3 linked regions of the Struthio camelus genome follow. The protein of the gene in region 2 binds, or shares a complex with, the protein of the main gene of each other region. Links are inferred from orthologs where the notes say so. Each region holds a gene or a part of one and is shown on either strand. Other genes may lie near its edges. The genes, in order: BRIP1, TOPBP1 and PHF8.

Evidence for each region.
Region 1: the proteins of TOPBP1 (region 2) and BRIP1 are in contact, whole or in part, in a crystal structure (PDB 3AL3), measured with the Homo sapiens proteins. The link is inferred for Struthio camelus from reciprocal best matches to the Homo sapiens genes TOPBP1 and BRIP1. Residues at the interface, in NP_008958.2 of Homo sapiens: Leu1272, Ser1273, Ser1274, Leu1275, Asn1276, Pro1277, Arg1280, Gln1298, His1311, Leu1313, Arg1314, Asn1315, Glu1316, Lys1317, Leu1319, Gln1366, Arg1407, Gly1410, Phe1411, Leu1414, Thr1466, Glu1467, Ile1469, Ala1470; in NP_114432.2 of Homo sapiens: Ser1129, Tyr1131, Phe1132, Thr1133, Pro1134, Glu1135, Leu1136, Tyr1137, Asp1138.
Region 3: the proteins of TOPBP1 (region 2) and PHF8 are in contact, whole or in part, in a crystal structure (PDB 7CMZ), measured with the Homo sapiens proteins. The link is inferred for Struthio camelus from reciprocal best matches to the Homo sapiens genes TOPBP1 and PHF8. Residues at the interface, in NP_008958.2 of Homo sapiens: Gln1298, Cys1299, Arg1314, Asn1315, Glu1316, Leu1319, Arg1369, Ser1406, Arg1407, Gly1410, Phe1411, Arg1413, Leu1414, Arg1465, Thr1466, Glu1467, Ala1470, Asp1471, Gln1475, Asn1483, Tyr1484; in NP_001171825.1 of Homo sapiens: Gly842, Ala843, Cys844, Phe845, Asp847, Ala848, Tyr850, Ile851, Tyr852, Pro853, Ser854, Leu855, Glu856.

What each region holds. Positions count from the first base shown.
Region 1 is NC_090957.1:18,851,711-18,859,407, reverse strand, and holds the start of BRIP1 (Fanconi anemia group J protein), read right to left. Parts: upstream 3,029-7,697; 5' UTR 2,937-3,028; exon of another isoform or gene 2,799-2,936; intron 2,408-2,798; 5' UTR 2,300-2,407; intron 1,416-2,299; 5' UTR 1,381-1,415; coding exon 1,288-1,380; intron 467-1,287; coding exon 355-466; intron 1-354. Other genes in the region: INTS2 (integrator complex subunit 2), read right to left, coding at 5,354-5,523, 6,361-6,537, 6,719-6,824. UniProt on the Homo sapiens protein: DNA-dependent ATPase and 5'-3' DNA helicase required for the maintenance of chromosomal stability. Acts late in the Fanconi anemia pathway, after FANCD2 ubiquitination.
Region 2 is NC_090943.1:50,368,570-50,375,699, forward strand, and holds the start of TOPBP1 (DNA topoisomerase 2-binding protein 1), read right to left. Parts: upstream 3,085-7,130; 5' UTR 3,012-3,084; exon of another isoform or gene 2,858-3,011; intron 2,673-2,857; 5' UTR 2,666-2,672; coding exon 2,585-2,665; intron 1,759-2,584; coding exon 1,624-1,758; intron 1,048-1,623; coding exon 904-1,047; intron 115-903; coding exon 1-114. Other genes in the region: C-C chemokine receptor type 5, read right to left, coding at 7,130-7,130. UniProt on the Homo sapiens protein: Scaffold protein that acts as a key protein-protein adapter in DNA replication and DNA repair. Composed of multiple BRCT domains, which specifically recognize and bind phosphorylated proteins, bringing proteins together into functional combinations.
Region 3 is NC_090979.1:567,301-574,785, forward strand, and holds the start of PHF8 (histone lysine demethylase PHF8), read right to left. Parts: upstream 3,095-7,485; 5' UTR 2,645-3,094; coding exon 2,547-2,644; intron 2,462-2,546; coding exon 2,376-2,461; intron 2,275-2,375; coding exon 2,166-2,274; intron 1,932-2,165; coding exon 1,771-1,931; intron 815-1,770; coding exon 673-814; intron 593-672; coding exon 406-592; intron 317-405; coding exon 154-316; intron 1-153. Other genes in the region: serine/threonine-protein kinase WNK3, read right to left, coding at 5,426-5,566, 5,708-5,883, 5,981-6,070, 6,322-6,530, 6,626-6,855. UniProt on the Homo sapiens protein: Histone lysine demethylase with selectivity for the di- and monomethyl states that plays a key role cell cycle progression, rDNA transcription and brain development.

The sequences.
Region 1 (7,697 bases), on a different chromosome or scaffold from region 2:
AATACAAACAGAAAATTCTTATAAATTTTTAAGCATCATTTTGGATGGGACTTTGTTTGGTCCCGTTACACATTATGGATGCGATCTTCATCATCTATTTTATTTACATTATAAACTTTGTGTCTCTGTGTACTATGCCGTCTGAACAAGCTGTCATCACTCTGCTTAGCATTATTGGCCACTGCTGTTTTGATTGCCTAATGCCATTTTGCCAATAAGCCTGTATGTATAATGATGGACAAAGACCTGCATACATTCCTCAAACCAAAAGTTTAAAGGTTGAAAAGCAACAATAATTCATTATAATATATTTCAGCAACAACAACTGGGCACATGGACACTGAGAAAGCTTACCATACAAAGACTGCTGCCATGATAATGCAGAACAAAGTAATGCCAAACTTTTACCGCTTCCTGTAGGGCTCTCCAGCAAACAGTGTTGCCTGTTATTCAATCCCTTAACAATCTTTAAGGAGAAGAATGAAAACAAAATCATAAATAACTGTGAAAGCAAAAAGAATGTTTTAACTAAGCTAAAGGTAACTTTTAAAAATAGTCCAGGGCACCTGCAGTTATGTTCAAAAAAATAAAAAAAAAATTAAAAAAAACAACCCTCTGAGCAGTGCTCAGAGGTTCGCTTACAGGGTACTATGAAATACTTACCTGCTAATAGCAATATCTGATGGGGCTGACTTTCTTTCTGTAGTCTTATAGAACCAAAATATTTAAAATATCTATCGCAGAACAAGAATATTTGTCTCTCAAAGAAGAAAATATTTAAATTTCCCAAATTAAATATAAAACGTACATATTAAATATGCAATATGAAACATCATATAAAAACCCTCCTCTGAAAAAAATTACTAGAATATTACACTCTGATTAAAAGACATGGTTTAGTAGAACATTCCCTCCTTGTACTTGCAAAATCATACACAATTTATATTACAGCTAATTAAATAAGCATTTATATTACACAGCACATAGCTTGGTTCTTAGCATAAAAGTTCAGCCTACAAAGCCAAAATGTATTTCAACATTCCAAAACATTATTACTATCTTATAATCCAAATACCATAGATTCCTAGTCACGGGTCACATGTCATTGTATAGCACAAACACGTACAAACAGAGAACAAAGAAACACAGTAATACAGTAAGTTGCATTACAATTGAAATACTGAAAATAGTGGAGACTGAATTGTATATGCTCTTTTTCTAAAGGTTGATAAGAATTGCAAAACATAACCTATTACTTTAGCGAATATTAACATAAATTCTACTTACTGCATTCATCATAGCTAGTTGTGATGGGTAAGCCTTGCAAGGGAATATAATCTTCACTCCCCCAATAGTATATTCTGACACGTCAGAAGACATTGCCACTTTTCACCCTGTTTATTTCAGATTTATAACTGCAATTGAAATAAAAACAAGTATTAACCAGCTAAAATTAGCAACCACGGGAAAGTCTGAAACAACATGCAGCACCAAACAGAAACGAGCAGAAACTGCTAACCTGATAAGAGGGCTAAGTGGCTCAGGATATTAAGAAAACTCGCATACAGAAACTTATACTACATGACAGCAGTTCAAGCCTGGTCCTTGTCACAAACAAGAGCAAGTTACCACCATCTGATAATTAACATTAGCAATGTAAGCAATTTAGAAATAACTATGAATGAACTACTTACATCATTTCAATTTTATTTCACAGGTTTTACTTCCCCCCAAATTCTTAGGGGAAAAAGTATTCTAGGATATTTAGTAACTATAAATAATCAGTTTTTCAATTCTGCGGCTCCATTAACTTGACCTCCAAGACGCTGCAAGTTACAGTGATACAGCCAACAGCTGTAGCTTCTGAATATGCCTTTTCATTTTGTAACAGTGAGAAATTAAGATTGGATACTGACTTTAAAAATAAGATTTTAAAACACCTTTCTTATAGTACTAATATAGTAATTATTCAGGGGAAAATGAGCTGTCATTCATTTTACTATTCTACTTATCTTCTTGCACTTCTCTCATTTTGGGTAATAAAAACCGTACTGTTTCAGCAAGCCACACTATCCAGCTGAGCATCCAGCTGAACAAACCTTACACCCAGTCCTATCTTCCATATCATTCTAAAACATTGAAACTATTGAGGTACAAATATCGAGTAGGGATATACAGCTTTAAAAAAGACTACAGCTTTTAAGCATCACTAACTTTTCTTATCGGTCTTAAGCATCTACAAAATAACTAAAAGTGAATTTATGCTGGCAACCTCCCTGTGATAAATAAATTCACTAACCTGTGTGCTCATCTGACTCTTTAATGAGTAAATGCATGCATGAAAAAGCCACCAACACAAGGCATGATTCAGCTTCATCATCAGCTTCCTCAACAGGAAAAAGAAACCCTAGCCAAAAGAGATTGCTAGCCTGAGTTTGCAGCCATGCCCTCCTTCCAAAAACGTAACTGCACCTCACTGAAAGGCTTTTCCTCACACGCAGAGGGGTTCTCTCAAACGTTTTTTTGAGGGGAGTGCGAAGGATCTTTGCCTAAGAAAAAGCAAGCCCCTACGAGGGAGGCGGGAGGGGATCAAAACCGGAGTGCGGCAGCAGCCGGAGACGGGGGCCGGGAGGGAGGGAGGGGGGGCGAAGTGGAGGGACCCTCGGGCCGGGGGCGGCTCCCCAGGGAACCCCCAGGCCCAGCGCGGGTTTCTGCGGGGCTCGCGGCGGAGAGCGCTGGGGCCGGCTGCTGTCCTCCTCCCGCGCCTTCCACTTTCCACCCCGGCCTACAAAAGGCACCTGGGCGCTTCTTTTCTCTGCCGGGAGACGGAGAAAAGGCAGGAGCCTCCGGAGAGCCCCTTCCCCGCGGCGAGCCGGGTCCCTCAGAGCCGCGCTCCGCCCCGGGCGCGGCCCCGCGAGAAGCGACGAGCCGCTCACCTCACGCGGCGGCAGCGGCCCTCTTCAGCGTCCGTCCTTCCCGCCTCCGCCCCGGCCGCTGTCCTTCCCGCCAATCAGCTGACAGGAAAGGCTCCGAGCCGCCAATCAGCAGGCCGCGAACTCAACCGCTCCCGCCTTCCCCCTCCGCGCTGTTAGAACCAATCGCGGAGCGCCTTGTTAGCTCCTAGGTTGTCTTCGTTGCTGGGCGACCGCGCGGCGGTGGTGCTGATGGCGGCGGCTCGGGCCCCTCAGGGCCTCCGGTAGGTTCCTTTCAGCAACTATCGTCATCTGGGGGAGAGTTTGGGTTTTTGGGGGCGGGGGTTTGTGTGTATTGTGTGGGTTTTTTGTTTTTTGGTTTTTTTTAGCGGGAGGCGGAAGCTCTGGGCCCGGCTCCCCGGTAGCGCTCGCGTGATAATCAGGATACACTGTAGGACGCGCTGGTTCTTCACGCCCTCTTCCTTAGGGCTGAAAAAATAGACTTTTTTTTTTTTAATTTACCTTTAGGACAGCTACTGCAAATACTGTACAGGAACCTAAAATGCTAATGAAAATTGTTTTTAGTAAAGTCTGTCACGTCTAAGTACTTACATGCATTTAAAACTACTCTTTCTTGGCAATTCAAAAGTCTCAGGATCAACGTTAAGATCTGCAAGTCACCAGCGCTGCTGGGTTGTTTTGGTCTTGGGAGGGTTTTTTTTGCTAAGGCCCTAAGGGATGGTTCCCTCTACTTAACCTAGGTATCAAACTGGAATATTTAAATCGATATAGGCAAATCTTCTTGAAATTAAAAGTACAAATATCTACAAATTGATCCAAAACATACACTTGTTTTTACTTAAATACCACTACAGCATATAAAATCACAAGCATAAGAGGAAAAAATACATACATGTAAATTATTTACATCTTTTACATCAAAATGACAAAAAATATACTTGGTAGTCAGATGGTGTTGTCACCTGGTTACAGCAGGCTTTACATCAGCACGTTGGTAACTCTGGAAAGTGTACCGTATCTTTGTTTGGCAATTCAATATTAGCTTTTCTGAATCGCATTCCAACACATCAAGACATTCAGAAGGCCAGACTAAACATTCAGACCATGATTTCTGGAATATAAACTGGTTTTAATTGAAAAATATCTTAGTTAACCTGGACTCTAAATACTGTCATTTTCAAAACAGCAAATGCTGCATTGACAAGTTTAGCAGTTACAGTTCGTTGAAGAACTGCATTCAATTCTAGCACAACAGCCAAACCTTAATTTTATCTCTGTCTGCAAAAGCATTTGCTGCCTATCATGAGAGCTTGTGCAACTTTGAAGAAACTTCCAGATATTGCACCATACACACCCTTCTGTGATGCCACAAAACATCTTTCAAGGCTAAATCGTGTGGGTTTTCCTATATGAGAGGACAATCAACTGCTTTCAGAGACAGTTCTGTATGCATTAAGCACAAAAGGATTCAGCCTTCTTGTCCACCAAGCTGCAAGTTTCTAGGATGTAACCACTTTGGTATGGCTAAAACCTGTCATTCCAGTCATTAGAGTGAAATTCAGCTTCTGTCACAGTAACCTCCAACACTGATTTTTTTTTTTTTTTTAAATCTTAACCTAATGACAATTCAGATATCTTTGTGCTTTTCTTCCTTAGGTCTTTCTCCTCTCTTTTAAACAAAGTGATGTTTAAAAAAGAGACACCTAAGCAGCATTAAAAATATATATTATTTAAAAATCATGCTTATACACCTCATTTTGTACTACTTTTTTTTAGAAACTTCTAGACCAGTTTCAAACTGTTAATGAAGGCTGACAGATGTTTAAATGAACTCATTTTAAAGTGACTGATCTCATGAACTCACACTGGCCAATGGTTTGAAAAGCCAATCCAAAAAAATGTAAAGCCTCTTCTCTAGGTCTCAGTGCAATGGTACGACATGCCTACACCACACTTTCCAGTCTTCTGTGAAGATTTTTTTATTCCATCTTGTTCTGCAAGCCTCTGGAACACTAGTTCATTTGAACTTAAGCAAAGTTCTCCAACCTCAAGCTTTTCTTACCCATTGTTTTGCTGTTTGCTCAACAAACTAAGCGTTCGCTTTTCAAAAAGTGTTATAAAACCACGTACAGGTGTGTTGCTCAGTTCATGAAGTGATGCAGCAAGCCTAAAAATCATGCCCACTTCCACTGGATGGGGAATTGTTTACCAGCCCCAGCAGCCTCAGAACTTTTCACTGGAAGCAGCGTAAGCCTCTTTAAAGAATTATTTTCTTTGGACAAGGTTCAGCCATAACTGAATCTGATGAATGAAAGACATGGACTTGTGCTCCAGTTTCTCAATCCACTTGGCAGTTCTCGCCGTATTTAGACACCGTAGACTGTGATACGAGCTATGGTACAATTTCATTTCTGTACTTCCTAAACTCCACTTACACTCATGTTAATTATTTCAATGATAGTACTTTCAACACACTGGCATAACTGAACATCAGGGTCCGTGCTTGCTATGTCCCTTGAACAACTTTTATAAGATGAATCTTTACAAAGTCCTGACACTTCATTTGGTTTCTCCTTTAGTTGCTGGAGACCTAGAAAATTAAATAAGGAGGGGGGGGGGGAGTACAAATAAATACAGCAAAGATAATTGTTATACTACACCCTTAATGCAAATATGCATATTGGGAAATAGTACATTTGAACCATCACTATTTCATACAGCGAGTATTTCTAGGGACACTAAAAACATCTTTCATTTCACCTACATCTGACTTCATTGTTTTTATTTATATTCTGTCTGACTTCTTTTAACATAAATATCCTAGCACAGATAATATTAGCAAGTCTTGTATCACAGGAACGGAACATTTGTTTTTAGACAGAAAAAAGACAGAATGTTTCGCTCAAGTTGAACGAATAGACTTAAACAGTTAAGTCCTCTTCATACAATCACTATATGTTTATCCATCCATACTGTGAGACTTCAGCTAACTCATTTCACTTTGCACTTCCAGTAGACTAGGAAGATTTCCCTAATCAGCTCTTATGCCATAGCTGAAGCATGGAAGTGTCTTTGTGTTCTCAAAAGCCAATGGTCTTTGCTCATGCCTTTCCTCCTAAGGCTACGATGGCAAATTCCATGCACAACCCTGGCACGCAGGGTTAAATCTTGCAATAATACGCACAGGGAAACAAAACAGAAGGAAGGAAGTTCATAAAAGCTTAACAAAGGAATGTCTTCAGCCTCTTTAGCCTCTAACTTCTTTCCTCCTCTCCAATAAATCCACCTTTACCCCTTCTATATTTACAAGGTAACGGTAGTACATTTTATTTTGCATTCAAACTGCACTGAAACATCTGAAACATTAAACATCATTTTCTCCCTGGGACCATGATATTATTTTTGAAATACAAGATGCCTTACTTACGTGTAATAATTGGGTCAAAGTCTCTTGTCTGCGTGGCAACATCAGAGGCACAGACTTGCCCTACTTGTATCAGCAGAGACATAATATCCTCATACAAAGGCGGAAAGGCTTGACAGAAGGAAACCAAACAAGGCAAGGTTGGCATAAAAAAGGCATAACGCTTCGACTGGGTTAGAACTGTCAAGGAAAGAGAAAAGAGTCCGTTAAAAAAGGAACTATTATCAAAATCCAATCAATAATTTTTGTTATGTTTTCAAGTACAATTATCACACTGGCATTTCGGTAAAATTGTATTCAGTCTAGACAAAATAAATTTAACTTCTGCAACAGTGTGCTTAGGCGTTGCTGGAATGCTTACCTGTGAGTAGGGTTCCCATGACATTGATAGCTAAACGAGCCACGCTGAGAGATTTAGGTAGTGCGTACTGGATACACAAAAATGAAAGTAACTGGATTGCAAATATCTGTTAAGTAGGTGAAAGGCAAAAAAGAAACAGGCAATAAATTTAGAGATTGCTTTGCACCTTCAATCCAAAGTTCTTCACATAACTTAATAATTAGTAACTATTTTGATTTTACCAATGAGGAAATGAAAGCCACAGAAGCCTTATAGTAGTTACTGTGAAATGTTTCTGCTGACATCAAGAAAAAAAAAAAGCTCACAGATTTAACATTAATGCAAGGACCAGAGTTAGTGTTTCAGAACCTCCCCCACAGACACAGTTTGTTCTGATACTGTTGGTGAGAAACAAAGCAACACACAATTCACAACATAATCCCCGTAAAAGTTGTTTCGTGTTCCATATGTTCTGTTTTTAACTTCAGTTGAGCGCCTTCTTATCAGCAGTAACTTAATATTTGAGAAGGGATTAAATACAAGTAATTAAGAAGTTAGTTTGATACAAAAACAGTTTTGGGGAGTTGTTTTATTCTCTTACAAGAATCTTTAGCCCAATAAATTTCAGTTACCTGGAAACAGCCAAATATGTAATCTCCCCTTGTTACAACATACCAATTCAAGGCCCATGAATTGCCTTAAGGAGTAATAATTATCAATCATTTGCCATTGTTTTTCCATAATCATCACAAGGCCTTCAAAAATACAGGCAAAACATTTCTAAAGCAAACTCCTGATTCCTCCTTTGCTGAGCTCATACTGAGAAGAAACCACCACACTTTGGATTCATAAAGAATAAACTTGAGGAAAACGGCACATTTCATTCTGATAGGCTTTGTGAAGGTATTCCTGCACTTAGGGAAAGAACTGGTAAGATAGCTGGCAAAGAAGAAATTTAAATTCTTTTATGAATTTACACCTTATAGTCTTGCCCCAAGCT
Region 2 (7,130 bases):
AGCTACTAAGTATTTCTTACTACCAACTTCTCCAGCTATAAGGTGAGTTACTGACACATTGAGGTCTCTGTACACACGTCCACCCATCATCTGCACATATTTATGAACTTCTTCCTGGGTGGGAAAAGAAACTATAGAAAATCTTCAAGCAAAAAGAACCTACATCATATGCAGGCTCACCTTAAAAAACAAACAAACAGAACCCCGTCAATTTCAAATCTCTATGGTTTCTCCTAAAAATCTGTTTGGAAATCCAAAAAATCAATATTTCGGGAAGCCATTAAAAATACCAGACATTAACTCCATTTTATTCTTGATAAGCTGAATATAAAAGATACCCTTAATAAAGAGGCTACAACCATATTATATCAGTGAAAATGTACTGATGGTTGGCATTTTAGGTAGTATAAATTAGAAATAGATGTTGGAATAAATAAAAAGGAAACTTTTACAATGAAGGACGTGAATTAAACTACTTGAGATAAACCACGGCTGACTAGATATTAAATCTTTACCGTGTAGTTTGAGTAACCAGAAATAGAGTACTTTGTCTGCAGCATGACAGCCACAGACAAACTAGCAAGCTAAGTGATCCACCTAAAGATGAAGTCAGCTAATAGAATCCCTAAAACATACAATTAATCCTACAGTAGCAAGACTAATGTCTTACAATTTTATATGCATTCTTATGTAACATAAATGTACATATACACACTACAAAGACATGTATACATACCATATATATAGTAAGCCTATATACAAAAATTTACACACCATCTACAGAGCCTATATATAAAAACAGGCAGACTTTTACGTTATATAGTAAGACTATTGGCTTAGCAATAAGCCATCTGAAGCAAATGTCACAGAAAAATTAGCTGAACAACCATTATGGGCCATTACCCTAACATCTTTTTCAAGGCTGGTACAGGATACTGTTACATCGGCCATGGTCATGTTATACACAGGATATTCAGCTCTTGGGACGCATCGCTGGGACTGCATACAATATAGGACTGCCTGTGGTCCAACAATTCTACAACCGAGCTGCGGTAAAATCAAAGAAAAAACAAAGATTAGCAGAAAGACACACCGGTATAAACAAAGCTTTCCTTGTCCCAGAACACTGGGGAAGGAGAGGTCATTGTCTGCCCTCCTTTAGCAGCTCCAAGTAGTTGAACATTTTTTTTCATTTTCTGATGCAGATTCTCAGTACCATCCTCTCACGTTTTCTGGCCTTGGTTAAGGCAGTGGATGCTACAGCTGACATGCCACAGAATTCTCGCGAGCCTAGCTTTGTCTGCTGGCATTATTTCTTGGAGGTCAAACAAAATTACATTACTGGGGGAAGCAAAAAAACGCGAGAGCCAGCTCACTGACTACAGCAGAATCAGAACTGATCACTGTATTTATTTTTCCATTTGCTTCAAGATGATTGTTACGCTTTGTCAGCCCTCCTCTTCCCTAAATACAAATGCATTGGAATTTTTACTATGGACTACTATATTCAGTAAAGAAAGAGAAAACATGCAGAGTATAATTATCGACATGAGCATTCCTACAAAAGACAGAGTATTCCTACAAAAGAGAGTATAGTTAAAAGTAAATTGATGAGTAGCAGACCTTTTTGAGATGACTGAAAACAACGCCTCTAAAAGGATCGCAAATGTAAAGGGATTTATCATTTTCGTTTATACTGAGCGCTGCTTCTTCTTCAAGGATCTGCAGATGTTCTTCTGACTGAAATTCTTTTATGGACTGCAGGAAAACAGTGCACACAATTACACTTATTTAATTCACAAATCACAAACAGTTAAACCTGTGGAAACTACAAAAGCTTGTCTACTTAAAAGAGCTTACAACAAAACTATATAAGAGCATATTAGTAGAAAAGAAGGCTAAAGATATCTCCTGTTTTTTTTTCCCCAATTCTTCACAATATTCAGAACTATATGTTCAGCACACAAACCTTCAGGACCTCATCCTGCCAGACAGTGCCTTTAACTCCCACTAACCTCCAGGAGGAGGAGAAAAATGAACTGTCCTTACTAAATCTTCAGTAGTCTGGATGAGTGACCACCATTTGGATTTGCCAAGCTTCCAGTTTACTTCATTAAACGTTAAGAGGTTTTCAGAGGAGGCTAAAACCGTTTATTCACTCCTCCCTCCCCTTACTCCCTCCTCCCCTCCAAGAGAAATAGTACTTCCCATGGTACTATTTGCTGTACTGGACAGTTGCTCTTTGCAGAGCTGATCTCCAAATTTTAGGCTCCTCAGTACCTTTAGCAAGACATTAGGCCCACAGAATCCCTCTTCTGTGAGAATCTACAAGATGTAGAAGAGTTTTCTGAATGGAACTATCACATTACAAGTAATAAATAAACACAATGAAAAAGAATTGCTTCTTGATCTAGGAATAATCATGCAAAACAAACTTTAATAACAACACTGAGCATCTCTATCACTGAAATGTGTTATCTACAGATGCGTACAAACGCACTACATCCCGAGACAACCACAGAAGACGCTTACATAGAAAATAAATACGGCAACCTCACTGAGAAAGGTCATCAAACCCACCTACCTCAAGAGCTTTAAAAAAAAACTCCGAGTTTCCAGAAGACTTTATGAACTTCACAAAGAACGGCTCCTTACTACCTTTCATCCTTTAACTGGAAAGCAAAACCACACAGGTTTCATGACTCTGCCACCTTCGTCCGGAGAGACACCTAACGCCTGCAGCCAGCAGCCGCCAACACCTTCCCCACCCCCGCCGCAGGAGCTGCGCAAACCGCCTCGGCCCGGCCCCGCACCGCGGCCCGGCCCCGCACCGCCCAGCCTCGGCAGCGCCACCAACCTCCGCAGGGGGCAGCCCCTTCCCCACAGAGCCTCCCCTCCCCCGCCTCACGCAGGCCACTGGCACTACCGCCGCCCCAAGCGCTCCCCGAAGGCCGGCTCGCTCGGCGCTGCCGCCCCGCCGTTGCGGGCCGCCGCCGCCGCCCGTCACCCACCCCGGGCCGCCTGCGCGGCTGGCGGGAAGCGCCGAGCCCCGCACCGCGCAGGCGCAACATGGAGCCCGGGCGGGGCGGCGGGGGGGTGGAGGCGCACGCGCCGCCGGAGGGGAGGAGCGGCGGCGGCCGTTGCGCGGCGTCACGTGCCCACGCGGGCCGGCCGTTGGTGGTGTTGCCGGACGGGCGCGGGTGTGGGCTGTGTCGCCGCCGCCGCCCTGTGGCGGCTGAGGGGAGGGGGCCGGCTGCCTCGCGCGCCCCGCGCCGTGGCGGCCCCGCCGCCCCCACTGGCGCCGCGGAGGGGCAGCGCCCCCGCTGGCCCTTGGGGTTGCTGAGGCGCTGCCCGGCTCCCGCTGCCTGGCCTCTGTGGAGGGCCGCAGCCTCGGCCTCTGCCGGCCCCGCAGCCTGGTTGTTTATCCGTGCTGTCTAGCCAAGGAGCGCTCTGCGCTGCTGTCCCCTCTGGTTCACGCCAGGGACAGCTGGAGGAGGCCTCTTCCCGCTGCTCGGGGAACGGTTACTGCCATAAGAGGTGGTAGCAAAGGCGGCTTCCCTAGCCCTAGCCTGGCCCATGCCTGGCATCTGCCCTCCAGAGAGGGTCAGGCCGTCACTCTGTTCGCTCTGAAAAGCCTTAGGGTGCTGGTGCTGCCACCTTGTGCTTGAGAGCGGCGGGGGAAGTACGGCAGCTGCCAGGAGGGCTGAGAAAGGTTGGAAGCGTGCTCATCCCAGTGCCATCTAAGTTGTGCTTCCGGGGGAAAGAGCGTAGAGAGGGTGTTCTGTTTCGTTCCTGTGACTTCCAAGCTATGCATAGGAATTTGAGGTGCACGCCTTCTGGAGCAGAGGACAGCATGAGCATGTGGAAAACTTGTTCAGAAGCTAATCGAGCTTCACTCCTCCCGTATCGTTCTGTATTGTTCTCCCGTATCTTTCAACTGCCTGAATCATCAGAAGCTGGCAATGCCCACTTCTCCGGCAGGCCGCTAGTCCTAGGTGCTCTGAGTGTTTTCTAAGGCTTGCTGCTGTCTGTGTAATATTCATGCTGCCTGTAGTGGAGGAAGTCATTTCGATAGAAGAGCATCTTGAGAAGAAAAAAGTTTTGGGAGAGGAAGAACACCAAAACCACTGATGAAAGCGAGTCTTTTAAGTGGCAGTATGAAACCTTACAGTGTGGCCACATGATGGCACCGTAATGTTAAAAACTGAAGGGACTCTGAGTAAGCGTGTGTGCAAGTCTAATTGTTGGAGGTTATCTCTTCAGTGCCTTGGGATAGATACTAAACATCTTTAAAACTCTTTCCTATGCTTATGTATTTTAAAACACTTAGTATTCATCCTCTTAGGGTCAGAGTGAGTTATGGGCTAAACCTCTTCCGTGTGTAAAAATAAACAAAAACAAGTGTAGTATCAACCAAAATAGGCTATTTAATAGACAACTAGTGACAAGCAGTTAAGCACAGGGATCATGTCTTGATGGTCATGTGTTATCTGATGATGTTGGTTCTTTGTCCAGTTGTTAAACTCTCATTTTTTTCTGCCTGCTTTTTCAGCATTATAGCAACCTGCTATAAAGAGGAATTTCTTCTTTCTTTTTTAATTCTATTGGGCTATCAAAAAGAAGAGGGCAGAGGGGAAGAGAGAGGATCAAGAAATCTAACACACAAAAGTCAACCAACTTTAATGGATTGTATAATACAAAATATTATTACAGTCTGTTGGCAGAGTCCTTAATTCAATGTACCAGCAGTGTTACTGAGCACTTATTTGATATGTCCCCTCGAAGCATGGTTCCCTGCTTACTACAGTGAGCAGCTTGTTCTCGCTTGCTGAAGCATGGTCCCTTCTCAGTGAAGTGAAGTAATAGAAACTCTTGAGAGCTGCTCGTTCACCGCTGATCCACTGGACCACAAAACTCTCAAAGTTCCAACTTTGCCTCTTGGAAGTTGCTTGTCACTTGGAAAGATTCTTGCTATAGGAGATAATACTGCAAAGGATCAGGGCTCTTCTTTGATACACCTCTCAAAAAAGCATGCCCCTCTCCTCTTCCGTGTTTGATTGTCCTTTTCTTCTGCAGGGATGGTTATGTACTGTGTATGGCACTGAAACCTAGAAAATAATTTCTTAAAGGCAGTGTGCCTTGGGGTCCAAATGAATGATTTTGTCGAGAACAGAATAAATCACAAAAAGATTTTCATAAATGTGATCTAGAAGAAAAAAAAAAGCCAGCCTGACAAAAGTTACTGCATGTAGCTTCCTATCCCTTTAAAAATGAAATGCATATATTTTGCATTTTATGCTGAAATTACCTGATTTCTACTTATAGTGATATAGTTACCTGTTTTAAAAGCATATACAAAGTCCAGAAGGTGACTGATGCAACAATGCCTTAAAAAAGGATGTGCATCTCTAACGACTGTGAATTAGAAGACATAGTATAATTTTCTTATACTTCCCATGTGGATGTAGTCCAAAAGTGGTGCTTAATACGATAGAATAACTTGAAACAAGTGGTCTGATGAGCAAAGATTTCCCTATTGCACTTCCTGTTTTCACAAGCACTTAGCAGTGTAAGATTTCTTTGGGGCTGTTGGAAACATTTGCTTATTTGGAAATATTATCTAAAAGGATATTTAGAGGAGCTGGGAAACAGAAATAACCCTACCAGATAAGAACAGCAATCAGAACATTGTTTTTTTATATTTCTATTTCCAGAGTTGGCCAAAACCAAGTGTCTTAGGGGAAATGTAACAAACACTAGGAAGGACAGTTTGGCATGAATCAAGTAATCGTGCAGATAAGGTATGACCTTAAGCACGTTAGTATCCCCATTCTTCAATTTTTCTGTGTGTTCAAGTGCTCTGCAGGATCTGACCTTTAGCAAAAGCCCAGTCATAGATGGCCGTCAATCTTACTAATTAAGAAAGCTTTTATTATCTTTAAAACTACCAAATGGCATAAAAATGGTCGTATCATTTTTGGTAGCCCCCAAATGATACCTACTTGTAAAACCAGGAAGTGCCCCTTGACTTTGTGGATCAGTGAATTCTTTCACTTGTTCCTATGTTTTGATAACTTAAAAATTCATGGCATATGCTTATCTCTGTAAACATCTGGGTCAACCCTATTTAGAAAACGTTTCCACACCTCTAATGCTGTTGTGTTTTTGCAGCCACTACCACTGCATTAATTTCATATTTTAAGTTTTTCCCTATAACTATGCTGGTTAGCAAAATGGCAAAAAAATCACTGCACTGAAAAAAACAAAACCCTATTGACTGATAGTACACATTTGATCTACCCTAGTTAAAGCTCCATGTGTAATACTGTAATGTTTAAATGTTGCAAACACATTGCTTTGCTGATCAACGTTAGTCCATTGTATATTTGATTAGCTTTTCAATATGAGTAACATATAAAACAGCAATTGATTGAGAGAGCCTCCTGAAATACCCAAACTCTTGAGTAACTTAGGTATTGACATCGAATAGTTAAGACTAACATGAGAAAAGACCCAAAATATTGGTACTTGACTGTACACAATGAAACAATACCTTGAAATATTAGAAGCTCTTTTAAATATATAACATTTTCCCTTATCCCTTCTAAAGATTCTATATCACAGACCTCCATAATTTAGCGTTATCTGCACAAGTACACAATTAGGCTGGTAAAGCGTGGAGCTGACACTGAGTTTAAATGAGTGAGATATCTTGTGTAAGGTCCAGTCAAGAGATGTTTCCAAAGAACCAGTATCGATTTCTAACCTCCTTTTGAATTAATTCAAAAATTCTGTGTATGAGCCTGCTAGCTTAGTGTACAGAGAAAGCCTCCAGTCTTTGGGAGTTTTAGGTCCTTCAGGATAAAGCTATGCTTTTACTTTCACAAAAAAAGAGAATACTTCTTTCCTTGCAGAATCCTACATTTGCATATCCAGCTAGCTAATTTGATCCATCCTTTTCATTTATGTACAAATACCCATATGAATGAACAAGTACAAGGTTTGGTAGGCGTATGTGCCGTGTTCTTCTGTGGCCACCTTAGAGACAATATCCAGACAACAGCTTTCGAGGCTTCTTTCACAGAACTGATTTCACAAAAGTTAATTCCACTTTTTCACTAGACACAGTT
Region 3 (7,485 bases), on a different chromosome or scaffold from region 2:
AGGACCTGGGAAAGGTTGGGGAGAGCCCAAGGGACGTCCGAGCACTGTACTGGTGGGGGATGAAGAAGGTCTGGCCCTGATGAAGACGGATAAAGGACCTGGGGGGATCTGGAGAAGATCGGAGAGAACCCAGAGGATGTCGCGGGATCGTACCAGTGGGGATGAAGAGGGTCTGGCCCTGACGCAGGGGGCAGCGGTAGCACCGATCCACCTGGTCGCCGAAGAACATCTCGCTCTGGTTGCTGGAGCTGCTCCAGGCCTCGAAGAGGGCCAGGTTGGCCGGGGTGGGCCGGGCCAGGTAGAAAACCTTTTCGCCCTGCGGGACGCGAGAGGCGGCGTCGGCAGGAGCGCGCGGCCGTCCCGTAGACCCCAGGAGCCTCCGACACCCCCCGCCCCGGGGCGCACCCGCAGCACGTGGTACCACACGGAGGTGCCGCCGAAGTCGATGTGGAAGTCGGTGTAGCTGTCGCGGGCGCCCATGAGGCAGTACTTCTGCACGCTGGGCCGCTCGAACACCGACTCGCCCGGCCACAGGTTCTCCACCCACGAGAGCTTGCGCACGATGCGCGGCGTCTCCACCAGGTTGGACAGCCTGCGGGCCGCGAGGGCGTCAGGGCCGGGGGACCCCGTGCCGCGGCGGGTTGGACGCGACGCGGGGCCGGGGCGCCGTACCGGGTGTCGGAGAACTCGAGGCTGATGACGTTGAGGACGCGGTCGCGCCGGGCGCCGCAGAAGTAGGCCACGAAGTCGCCCAGCCGCATGCGGCAGTCGGCCTGGCGCGCCACGTCGATCACGTCGATCTCCTTGTCCGGGCCTGGCGCGGGCAGGGTGGACGGCTGGGGGGCAGACACGCGCCCCCACGCCGGCCCCCCAACCTGCCCCAGACCCCTCCCAGCCTGCCCCACGGGCCCCATACGTACCCTAGGCACCCCCTGCCTGCCCCAGAGACGTCCCTGTGTACCCCCAGGCTGCCCCATGGGCCCCATAGATGCCCTATGCACCCTCTGGCTGCCCCATGGGCCCCATACGGGCCCTAGGCACCCCCAACCTGTCCCAGAGATACCTCTATGCACCCCTAGTCTGCCCCAGAAATACCCCTATGCACCCCTAGTCTGCCTCACAGGCCCCATAGACACCCTGGGCACCCCCTGTCTGCCCCATAGATGCCCCTACACACTTCCAGCCTGCCCCACGGGCCCCATACACAACCTATACACCTCCTGCCTGCCCCACAGACGTCCCTCTGTACCCCCAGGCTGCCCCACAGGCCCCATACGCACCCCCAAGCTGCCCCAAAGACATCCCTCTGTACCCCCAGGCTGCCCCACGGGCCCCATAGACACCCTATGCACCCCCAGGCTGCCCCACAGGCCCCATACACACTCTATGCGCCCTCTGCCTGCCCCATACACACCCTATGCACCCCCAGACTGCCCCATACGCACCCTACACACCCCCAAGCTGCCCCAAAAACATCCTTCTGTACCCCCAGGCTGCCCCACGGGCCCCATAGACACCCTATGCACCCTCTGCCTGCCCCATACACACCCTACGCACCCCCAGGCTGCCCCACGGGCCCCACAGACACCCTAAGCACCCCCTGCCTACCCCACAGATGCTCCTATACACCCCTAGCCCGCCCCACGGGCCCCACAGACGCCCCTACGCGCCCCTGGGCTGCCCCACACGCGACATAGGCGCCGCTACGGGCTCCCACGCGCCCTGAGCCTGCCCCGCAGCCCCACCGCCGCCGCCGGCCGGGCTCCTCACCCACGTAGTGCTCGATGTCGCGGGCGGTGAAGGTGGGGGGCGGCAGGGTCATGCCCAGCCCCTCCTTGCGCAGCACCAGGATGGGGACGCTGAAGCTGTTCTCCTCCAGGTACTCCACCGTCAGCTGGGCCCCGCTGGGCTTCAGCAGCACCTCGTCGGCGCTGGAACGGCCCCCGTAACGCCCGGCTCCGCGCCCTACGCCCCCCCCCCCAACCCCGGGGCGAGGGGAGCGACGCCGACGGCGCCCGCGCGCGGCCGGTTCGGACGTCCCGGCGAAGCCGCGCTTCGCTCGGGGCGGGGGGCTCGGCGCCCACCGCCCCGAGCGCCCCGTCAAGCGGGTATAAAACCAAAACCGCCCCGACGCCGGGGCAGAGCGGCCCCGTCACCCCTCTCACCTGGGGAAAGTCCGGCCTCGCAGCTCCCGGACGAACTGGGCGCTGCCGGTGCGGACGGCGCGGCCGGGCTCGGCGTCCGGCTGCTTGGCGAGGCCGCGGCGCCGCTTCACTGCGGAGTCGGGGAGGGGGGAGATGCCGGCGTTGAGGAGACGCCGCGAACCGCGTGTCCCCCCCCCCCAAAAAACCACACCGTCCCGAGCGGATACTCACTGACGGAGGGGCCGTGCAGCTCCTGGCACTTGGGGCAGTGGTAGAGGTCGATCTCGGCCGCCGCCTCCTCCTCCACTCCCACGCAGCTGTAGGCGCGCGTGTATAGGGGACGGCTCGGCCCCCGCCGCCTCCCCGACCCCGGCCCCCCCCCCCGGCCCCGCCGGCCCCCACCTGCCGTGGAACCAGTCCTGGCACACGTCGCACTCGATCATGAAGCGGGTCACGTCGTAGGGCAGCCGGCACAGGCAGTACACGGGCACCGAGGCCATGGCGCCCACCCGCCCCTCCCCCCCGCTATAGGTGCCCCCCTCCCGCTATAGGCACCCCCTCCCCCGCTATAGGCGCCCTCCTCCCCGGCGGGACCCCCTCTCCCCGCCCCAGGGCATCAGCCCTGCGGCGTCGTATAGGGGCAGCCCCCCCTACCCCCCCCTCCGTGCTGGGGGGGCACCAGCGGGGCTTCCCCTATAGAAAAGGGCTGCTCGTAGCCCCTATAGATCTCTCCTGCTTTTTGCTATGGGGGGGGGGGGAACTTTACGGGATGGTTTCGGCTCCTCTCCGCGCGGACCCGGCCTCACCGCCGCTCCCTTTGCCCTATAGACCCCCCCCTCCCCCTATGGGGAATTCAGCTCCCTATAGGGCCCCCCCCTTCTATAACGGCTCTACCTCCCCCTTAACCTCCCTATAACACCCCTCTATAGGGTCTCCCCGGGTCAACGCGGCCCTGCCCCCCTCCACCCACCTCTATAGCCCCCCCCAGCTCTATAGGCCACCTCTGGCCCTATAGGCCCCCCCCGCCGGCTCTATAGGGCCCCGGGACGCCCCACTCCGGGTCTATATGGGCCCGGGACCCCTCCCCCCGGGCCTATAGGCCCCCCCCGGACGCTCCCCTCGGCTCTATAGGGCCTCGACCCCCCCCGCCGAGGTCCGCGACCCCCTTAAAGGCCCCCCAGGCCCCGACGCCGGTGCCGCCGCCGCCGCCGCCGCTGCTGCTCGGCTCCGGCCTCCCAATAAAGTTTATTCAAACGCGGAACGGGAAGGAGGGGGCGGGGCCGCGCCGCCATGTTGAGGTCACCGGAAGGTGGCGGAGGCGGGGGCGGAGCCGAGCGTCCCGGCCGCGCCGCCATCATGGGGAGGTCGCGCAAGCGCAGCGCCCACGCAGGCAGCGGCCGCCATGCTGGGAGTGGCGGGACACGCTCGCGCTCTCTCTCTCTCTCTCTCTCTCTCTCTCGCTCTCGCTCTCTCTCTCTCTCTCTTCCCCCCCCCAACACACCCGGCATGTCCCGCGGCGGCTGCCGTCCAGACGGCCGCCATCTTGGGAGTGGCGCGGACGCCGCGCCGCGGCCATATTGGAAGTGACGCACCGCCTCACAAACACCCGCTTCTCCACGTGGGTTTTTATTATTTTCCCTTTTTTTGGTGTTTTTTTTTGCCGTTTTTACTCCTTTGTAACAATCCGTCCAAAAAAAAAAATAAACGCGGGGCCGCGCCAGCCCCCGCCCCCGGAGCAGACCCGAAACCTCGCTGGCCTTTTGGGGGGGGGGAGACCATGGAGGGGGGGAAGGGACTGAAATGAGGTAGATGGACCAAAACCCCACGTTTACGCCCCAAATCGCGTGGGGAGGGGGAAGGGGGGGCGCAACTGGGAGTTTTGGGACGAAACAAGGGGGTTTGGGGGCCAAAGAGAGGCAACCGCGGCGCTGGGGGGAGGCCCACGCACCGTTGTCGGGTGAACGAGGGCCTTTTGGGGGGAAACGGGGCGGTTTGGGGGCATTTTGGGGTGGAACGGCGGGTTTCGGGGCAGAACGAGGACGTTCGTGAGGTGACCGAGGGGTTTCAGCTCCACTGGGGTGGTTTGGAAACCGAATGAGGCGGTTTGGGATGTGGGGGGGGGGAACCGGCAGTTTTGGGGGAAAATGAGGTGTTTTGGGGCAAAACCGGGCCACTTTGGGGTCGGACGAGCGGGGCTGAACCGAGGCCGTTAGGGGCAACCAAGAGGAAAACGGGGCGGGGGAAACGTGGGCGTTTGGGTCAAACAAGGGGGTTTCGGGGTGAAACGAGGCAGTTTGGGGCAAAACGGGGGGGCCTTGGGCACATGGGGAGGTTTCGGGGTGAAACGTGGTTTTAGGATGAAACAGGCTTTAGGGTGAAACGAGGCAGTTTTGGCTCAGCTGAGGCAGCTCGGGGTCAACCGAGGCAGTTTTGGGGTGAAAGGGGGAGGTTTGGGGGTGAAACGAGGTGGTTCTGGGGTGGAACAGGTTTTTGGGGTGAAATGAGGGGTTTTGGGGATGAAATGGGGCGGTTTTGGGGTGAGACTGGGCAGTTCCAGGGTGAAATGGGGCAGTTCTGGGCTGAAATGAGGTGGTTTGGGGGTGAAACAGGGCATTTTGGGGGTGAAACGAGGCTGCTTTGGGGTGAAACGAGGCTGCTTTGGGAGTGAAACAGGGCAGTTTTGGGGTGAAACAGGGCAGTTCTGGGGTGAAAGGGAGTGGTTTGGGGTGAAACAAGGCAGTTTGGGGGTGAAACGGGGTTGTTTTGGGGTGAAACAGGGCAGTTCTGGGGCGAAAGGGGGTGGTTTTGGGGTGAAACAGGGCAGTTTTGGGGTAAAACAAGGCAGTTCGAGGGTGAAAGGGGGCAGTTTAGGGGTGAAAGAGGCTGGTTCTGGGGTGAAAGGGGGCAGTTTTGGGGTGAAATTGGGCGGTTTGGGGGGGAAACAGGGCAGTTTGGGGTTGAAACGAGGCTGTTCTGGGGTGAAAGGGGGCAGTTTAGGGGTGAAACAGGCTGGTTTTGGGGTGAAAAGGGGCAGTTTTGGGGTGAAATGAGGTGGTTTAGGGGTGAAACGGGGCGGTTCTGGGGTGAAACAGGCTGGTTCGGGGGTGAAATGGGGCGGTTTTGGCGTGAAAGGGGGTGGTCTATGGGTGAAACGGGGCGGTTCGGGGGCGAGACGAGGCGGTTCTAGCACGAACCGGGCAGCTCCTGGCTCGGCGGAGACGGCGCGGGGGCCGGCGGCGGCGGCTGTCCGGGGGCGACGGCGTCCGGCATCGTCGTCTCCCTCACTTGGGCGCCGGCGGGACGGGGCAGCGCAGGGCCGGACCCGGGGGGCCGGGCGGAGGCGTCGGGACCCACCGGGGCGGGTAGGGGCCGCAGCGGGGCAGCCGGACGCCGCGGAGGGTGGACGCCCACGAGGACGAGCCCTGCGGCGCCGGCGGAAAGAGAGACACAGACAAGAGACGGGACGGGGAGGGAAGAGGATCGGGGCGTGGAAGGGGGAAGGAGGTGGCAACTCAAAGCAGGGCCCCCCGGAGCGGACCCAGGCGTCCGGGAGCCCCCCTCACCTCGACGGTCCTGGCCCGGGCGTCGGGCTCCGGGCGACCCCGGTTCTGCCGGAGCTGGTTGAGGCTGGGCTTGAGGCCCGGCGCGCCGGCCGTCTCTCGCGCCCACTCGTCCACCAGCCGGTGGAAGTCGTCCGTGAAGAGGCCTTTCTTGGCGGCCGGCGGCGGCCGGCAGGGATCTGCGGGACGCGGGCGCCGTTAAGCTGCCGGCGAGGGGCCCAGGCGTCCTGGGGCCGCGGGGTTTTTGGGAGGGGGGAGGCGCACGTCCTCCGGTACCTGGCGGAGCCGGACCCTGGGAGCCGCTGGGGGGCTGCGAGTCGCTGGCGGCGGAGCAGGAGGAGCGGGGGGCCGGCGGGCCGCCGCGCTCTGGGGACGCGGCGGGGATTCGCTGGTGGCTGCTACGGGGCTGAGCCAGACCCCCGAACCGCCCCCCCCCCCCCGAAAACCCAGGCGTCCCCGTCCCCCCTCCCCGGAGCGGTCCGAGCCCCCCGCGGCGGGCCCAGGCGTCCCCCCTCCCCGGAGCGGTCCGAGCCCCCCGCGGCGGGCCCAGGCATCCCCCCTCCCCGGAGCGGTCCGAGCCTCCCGCGGCGGGCCCAGGCGTCCGGGCGCGTGCTCACCTGCGAGCGCGGGGCCGGCGTCGGGGCCGGGGGCCGGCGGGCGCCCCCGGGCTTTGCCTTTGAGGGCCCGGGGCCGGCGGGGGGAGGCGGGGGGCGGCCCCGGCTCGCCGGGCTCCCCCCGGGCGTCCTTGAGGGCCCGCAGGCGGGCGTAGAGCTCCTGCAGTTCCCGGTCCTGCTGCGCCCGCAGCGTCACCACCTCCTGGATGTGCCTGGCGAGGACGGGGGGGACGCGACGGGGCCGTCACTCGGGGGCCGAGGAGGGTGGCCCCGGACGCCTGGGCCCCTTGCCCGGCCTTCTCCTTACTTCTCCCGCAGCTGCTGCAGCTCGGCCTTGAGGTCCTCGTCCTCGAGCTCGGAGTCGCCGTCGCTGCTCATGGGCGACGAGGGCGAGTGGGCGCCGGAGCCCGGGCGGCGCGGTCCGTCCCGGGGGGCGGCCGAGGCCTCGCTGTCCGAACCCGATCCCCCCGGCGGGCTGCCCGGTGCTGCCTGGGCGCCGGGGGGCTCCTCCGCCCCCCGCGCCGGCACCGCCACCACCTGCGGCGGGGGAGAGAGATGGGAGACGATGCGCTCAGCGGCGGGGAGCCGGACGCCGGGGCCCCTTCGCTGGGGGGAAGGAGCAGCGAGGCAGGCTGGGGGTTCAGGGACGGCTCTTTGGGGGGGTCTCTGGGAGAGGTTGGGGGTCCCTGGGGCATTTTGGGGGTCCCTGAGGTGGCACCCATTCCCCTCTAGGTGGCCCTGGGGCATTTTGGGGGACCCCTAGGCAGCTCCCATCATCTCTGGGGGGTCCTTGGGCATTTTGGGGATCCCTGGGGTGGCTCCTGTCATCTCTGGGGGGTCCCTGGGGCAGCTCCCATCATCTCTGGGGGTCCCTGGGGCATTCTGGGGATCCCTGGGGTGGCTCCTGTCATCTCTGGGGGTTCCTGGGCAGCTCCCATCATCTCTGGGGGGTCCCTGGGGCAGCTCCCAGCCCCTCTGGGGGTCCCTGGGGCATTTTGGGGGACACCTGGGCAGCTCCCAGCCCCTCTGGGGGTCCCTGGGGCATTTTAGGGGACCCCTGGGCAGCTCCCGTCCCCTCTGGGGGGTCTCTGGGGCAGCTCCCGTCCCCTCTGGGGGGTCCCTGGGGCATTTTGGGAGACCCTTGGGCAGCTCCCAGCCCCTCTGGGG